Linked DNA regions of Mus musculus. The protein of the gene in region 1 interacts with the protein of each later gene in a pairwise test. Links are inferred from orthologs where the notes say so. Each region holds a gene or a part of one and is shown on either strand. Other genes may lie near its edges.

Region 1 (3,657 bases):
TCCCCAGCAGTGTACCCCAAATCCTTGCTGTTTCTCCTGGCCATCTGCTCACGGTCCATCTCCTCTCCTGGTTGCCTCTCCTCTCCTGGCGAGTCTCCTCTCTCCTCCTTGTTCTTCCTTACCCACCTTCTTCCTCTCTCATGGTCCTCCTCAGACACCAACCCCGGGAAACTGAAACCCCACCTACCTCTCTTCTGCCCAGATCTAGGCTGTCAGCATCTTTATTCAACTAATAATAGTTTTAAATGACAGAGCAAGGTCAGATAGCATTACTTGGTGTATGTGAGGATTTTCTCTGGTCCCTGAGGGCAACCAGGGTCAGTATTTAGCCTTACAATACATAGCAACAAACCAAACCTCAACACACCGGTCTCTTGCTTTGCTGAGAAAACAGGAGCTCCAAGTTCAGAGAGAGACCACAGAGGACATCCAGTGACCTCCTCTGGCTGCTGCGCACACATGTGAACACATACCGACTCGCACATAACTAAATACAGAAATCATAAAATAATCTTTAACCTCCAACGCAAGTGCCCATGGGCACACATAGCTCACACACACGGATCATCCATAAAATTCCATCTCCGCCAGGTGCAGTGGCCAAACCTTTAATCCCAGCACTCAGGAGGCAGAGGCAGGCGGATTTCTGAGTTCAAGGCCAGCCTGGTCTACAAATTGATTTCCAGGACAGCCAGGGCTATACAGAGAAACCCTGTCTCAGAAAAAAACAAAAACAAAACAAAAAACACCATCTCTGAACAGTTGTGATGGTGGGGTAGGGATGATATCATCCTCATCTCTAGGTAGGTGACAGCTGGTCCTTATTTGATAGCACCTAGGGCCAGCCGAGTCATCTTCCTTGCCCAACCCCCTTCCTTGCACATACCCCCCACCCTCCTGCCCGGCCCATACCGTGCTGAAGTTGGGGAAGAGACTGAGCGGGGTGGTGCCATTGAGGTGGAAGGCGAGCAAATGCTTCAGGTCCAGCGGGGGTTGCAGAGGCCGGGCGGGCAAAGTCAGGGAGGCCAACAAGGGGCTGGGGGAGCCGGAGGCCGGACCTGCTGCAGAAGGAAGAAGGGCAAGGTCTGAAATGAGGAGCCACGGGGCTCTCTCCCACCTCTGCTGCCAGAACAAAGGGCCAAGACAGGAACTTCCCGCTCCCTCTTCATAACGGCACCATCCCAACTCCATTGTGGAAGCAGAGTCCGGGAGTCCACAGCTCAAGTCTCCTAAGCAGAAGAGTGACCCTTTCTTACTGACAAGGTCAGCACTGTGGCCCAAATAGACACCAAAGGGAGTCCAGCCAAGAGAGGGGTCAGAGGAGTCAGGGTTGACATACACAAAACCATGGTGACAGGGTGACAGCATGACACACTACTTGTCCCAGTTGATCCCAAAGCACCAAACTCAGGGAGTGCGGGGAAAGGCCAACTCTTTTTGGTCTCACTAACTGTCCCTTTCTCACTTCCGGTTTCATGCCACTCACAGAAGGAATGAAAAGAAACCCAAAGCATAGGACTTGGGAGATGGCACATTGGTCAGAGCACTGGCCAGTCTACAGGACCTGGGTCTGATTCCCAGCACCCACATGTTAGCTCACAACTGTAACTCCAGTTACAGGGGACCCAATGTCAGCTTCTGACTTCTGCTGGCATCAGGCACACACGTGGTGCCCATATATGTCTGCACTTATATGTATCAAGTAAATCTTTAAGAGTCCCCCAAAGCCAGGCAGTGGTGGCGCACGCCTTTAATCCCAGCCCTTGGGAGGCAGATTTCTGAATTCAAGGCCAGCCTGGTCTACAAAGTGAGTTCCAGGACAGCCAGGGCTATACAGAGAACCCTGTCTTGAAAAAACCAAAACCAAACCAAACCAAACCAAACCAAACCAAACCAAAAGTCCCACAAAATTAAGAAGATAGAAAGAAACCCACAGCATTCTGAACAGTTGGGTTCCCAGTGCTGGTGGGGTACCTGCTGTTTCTCTGAGGATGCACCCCATCCAGCATCCAGGGTGACACCCCCAAGCCAGTCCTCAGGACCCACGGGAACAACACTGTGGTTTTGTAGTCTTTGGTCTTAACAGTGTGAAGTAAAGGCAGAAAGGGGCTGGAAACCGACAAACCAGATTTCAAGGGAGGAAAGGGAAAAATAAAAGCAGAAAGCAAGCTGGGCGGTGGTGGCGCTCGCCTTTAAACCCAGCACTTGGGAGGCAGAGGCAGGTGGATTTCTGAGTTCGAGGCCAGCCTGGTCTACAGAGTGAGTTCCAGGACAGCCAGGGCTACTCAGAGAAACCCTGTCTCGAAAAACAAACAAACAAACAAACAAAAAAGCAGAAAGCAACCCAGGTTACTGGAGACTTACTTGGGTCCTGTAACTGCCAAACCAAAAGAAGTGCCTTTCAATTCTTGGGTGTTAACCCCCTGAAACACCAGATGGGTTTATTTAGCATCTGTAGATGTAATGCCTATAATCACAGCCAGATACAGGAAAGCGGGCAGGTGGCAGATGGTAGGGGGAGCGTGGAGGATGGGAGGGAGGGGGAGCTCACTGAGGGTGAGCTCTCACCTATCTGTTCACAGACAGTGTTGTGTTATGTCAGGAGCAAGCACTCTGTCATTTGGTTTACCATCTCCTAGGGAAAAAGATTTTTTTGAGACAGGGTTTCTTCTGTAGCCCTGGCTGACCTGGAACTTACTCTGTAGACCAGGCTGGCCTCAAACTCAGAAATCCGCCTGCCTCTGCCTCCCAAGTGCTGGGATTAAAGGCATGTGTGTGCCACCACTGCCCGGCTAGGCCCAACCTTCTTTAATGGAAACTGGTAACCCAAGGGAAGGATCCAGAAAGGGAAAGTCTGAAAGGCCAGAAGGGGCGGGTAGATAGGGTGGTAGTGGTGGGGATGCGGGATAGGCAGCGCTGCCTAGATCTTACCTAGCATTTCAACCTACTTGCCCAGGCTCTTTCCTCATAGGCCAGGGATCTGGTTTGGTGATGAGTAGGTGAAGAGAAGAGCAGTTAGTAGGTCAGCTTGGCTGTAGTATAATTAAGGCTGCGTATCTCACCCTTCAATTTTCATGGCCCCTCGGTTAGCTAAGGTCAGGGGAGGCCACTCTCAGGAGAAGTGCCACCCCAGAGGTCCCTCCCGCACCCACTCTCTGAGAACTCCACGCCAATGCAGAGTCAAACTCATGCAGCTGGAGGAGAGGGGTAGCATCCACCGCGATCTTCACCACCTGCGGCCCGCCACGACTCCTCTTTGTCCCCACGACCGCAGCTCGTGGGTGCAGCCCACCTTGACCAGCAGCTCCGCACCCACGAGCAGCACTAAGGTCAGGGTGGCAAGGACGCGATTGTCGGGGAAAGAGTTCCTGCAGCTCCGAATGCGCGCCGGCAGAGGCGCCCGAGGCTCCAAGAACGCCAAGTCCCCCAGCGCGCTGGCGCACCATACCGGTCGCGCACAGTTCCTCAGGTGCCTGCGGGTAGCTGCAGAGATGGATGGCCAACACGGCCATCGCATCCTGCGAGGGTCCCGGGAAGGAGTCCCGCAGTCCCCTTCGCACGGCGTCCGGGAAAGCCTTTTGGTGGCGCTCCAAGCCTCGCAGCGTAGCCTCTGAGTACCCCAAGCAGCTCCACACTATAGTAGGTGCAGCGTTCGTC
Region 2 (2,534 bases), on another chromosome or scaffold:
GGCTGGCCTTGAACTGAGAGATGTTCCTGCCTCTGTTCCCTTTGCTGTGAATACAGGTGATACACCATGCCCAGCAACCCTGAAATGTTCAAGGAGACAACTCCTTTTTTTAAAGAGGCAAACACCAACAACAAAAAATAAAAAATAAAAGTTTAGAGCTAGGGCAAATCTATCCCCACCAGAGATAACCTTAAAGAGAGTAACCTAGGGGCTGGAGAGATGGCTCAGCGGTTAAGAGCACTGACTGCTCTTCCAGAGGTCCAATCCCAGTTCAAATCCCAGCAACCACATGGTGGCTCACAACCGCCGGTAATGAAATCTGATACCCTCATCTGGTGTGTCTGAAGTCAGCTACAGTGTACTTAAGATATAATAAATAAATCTTTAAAAAAACAAACAAACAAAAAAACCAGTAATCTAAAAGACAGTTTACCCTAATTTCAAGCAAACATCAACCAAATTACTTCATTACCACGATCCTGTTCAGAACAAGTTGCTGCTTACCTTGGCATATTTCTCTGCTTCCTCTCTTATGTCTTTGGGAACAATTTCATGTCTTCCTTTAGTTACTATAAAATCAAACCATATATTAAATATGAGGATTATAATTTGTAATACTGTGAACTCGCCCTAATCTTCAAGTGCATAGAGATCATTTCCTGTTGCCTCCTCCCCCAAATAATCATTATTCACAGGTGAACTCACTTAAAAATAACAGTAAGCTTGACTTATAAATCGGTTTTTTTTTTTGTTTTTTTTTTTCTTTTTTGTTTTTTTGAGACAGGGTTTCTCTGTATAGCCCTGGCTGTCCTGGAACTCACTCTGTAGACCAGGCTGGCCTCGAACTCAGAAATCCGCCTGCCTCTGCCTCTGCCTCTGCCTCCCAGGTGCTGGATTAAAGGTGTGTGCCACCATGCCCGGCAAGAATTCTTTCATTAACTTGTCGTAAAGTGCAAATAAATTCTAGAACAATAAATGTACAAATGTAACTTACATTCACCAACCCAGCTGAGCTCCAGTTCAAAAGCTTTATCCTTAACTTCATCGTGTACTATGTAAATTCTACAACAGAAAAGAAATTAACACAAAATAAACACAAGTTCTATAAACAGTGAGTACAAAGTAGACGTTGTGTGCCTGGTATTTATAAAATGACATACTCTCCAGCCTAGTTCAACCTTAGAAAGACAGATTAGGAGCTGGAGAGATGCTCAGTTGTAAGGTCACTTGGCTTTGGTTCTCAGCATACACAATGCTGACTTAGAACCCACATCTAACCCCACCACTCCTCTCCCCCAATCCAAAACCCTCTCCAGTCTCTTACAGTCAGACACAGTACATGCAAGCAAACTACTTATACACAGAAAATAAAAGTTTTATTTTCCTTAAAATGGGAAATTACACTGGAATTGAGACACTCTTTACAAATACTGATATACTTCTATTTCTCAAGTTGTTTATTTTGAAGCCGGGCGTGGTGGCGCACGCCTTTAATCACAGCACTCGGGAGGCAGAGGCAGGCGGATTTCTGAGTTCGAGGCCAGCCTGGTCTACAGAGTTCCAGGACAGCCAGGACTACACAGAGAAACCCTGTCTCGAACCCCCCCCCCCCCAAATAAAAAAAAAGTTGTTTATTTTGATAATGGTTTAAGGCTTCAAATAAAAGACATCTCAGAAAGAAAACAGATTCAAATTAGAAAGACCATATGCCTTTTCATGATACCCATTTTTTCTATTTGTAAACATATTTCAGAAACAAACCAGTAATTTAAACCATCTGTCCAGATAGTGTCAATGCCACTCAAACTGGTTCTTATGGTGTAATACATTACAAACAAGAAGGCACACAAGCAGTTACAGTAACAGTAAACAACTGAGCTTCAGCTGGCAGCAATGGCTCATGACTGTAATCCCAGGAGGTTAAGGCAGGACACTCCTGAATCTGAGGCTGTCCTCAAAATGACAAAAACCTCCCTATGATAGAAAAACAAAGCTTTCTGTTTCTTTTCTTACTTTTAGAGGCTCTGCTAAAGCCTTGCTGTATAGTACAAGAGAGCACCTTAGTTACAAGGATGAAAAGATGGCTTTCTGAAGAGGAACAAGTACTACCAATCACAAACTATGAAAGGTGCCAAAGGGTTGACTTCCAACAGGAACTTCAAAGACTATTTCAGCAACAGACCCTGGATTGTACCATACTCAAACTATTTAAAGGAATTACTTTCACTTTCCAATGTAATATGGTTCTTAACTGACTTAAAAAAGGAAGACTGCTTCATAACAGAAGGTAAATGAAGAGAGATGAGTCTTGGTAAGAATGGGAATAGTAAGAAACAAAATCCCTTTGTGAGAGATTATAGGCACCATCTTTTATTATGATAGAACCCAGATTTTTTTCCTTGTTTGTATTATCAAATGCAAAACCTGAAAGATACTATTACATAAAGAACCATATTCAGCAATACTGTAGTTTGTGTAGTTTACCTGAAAAGGCAGCTAGAAAGCGAGTACTCTACACAATATTTTAACAGCAA

What was found.
Region 2: the proteins of Zfp385c (region 1) and Psma3 interact in a two-hybrid assay, tested with the Homo sapiens proteins (2 studies listed by BioGRID). The two-hybrid records come from large-scale screens. The link is inferred for Mus musculus from reciprocal best matches to the Homo sapiens genes ZNF385C and PSMA3.

The regions. Positions count from the first base shown.
Region 1 is NC_000077.6:100,636,832-100,640,488, forward strand, and holds part of Zfp385c (zinc finger protein 385C), read right to left. Parts: exon of another isoform or gene 2,939-3,657; coding exon of another isoform or gene 2,932-2,938; intron 1,062-2,931; coding exon 913-1,061; intron 1-912.
Region 2 is NC_000078.6:70,991,541-70,994,074, reverse strand, and holds part of Psma3 (proteasome subunit alpha type-3), read right to left. Parts: intron 2,461-2,534; exon of another isoform or gene 2,020-2,460; intron 1,063-2,019; coding exon 995-1,062; intron 570-994; coding exon 505-569; intron 1-504. UniProt on the Homo sapiens protein: Component of the 20S core proteasome complex involved in the proteolytic degradation of most intracellular proteins. This complex plays numerous essential roles within the cell by associating with different regulatory particles.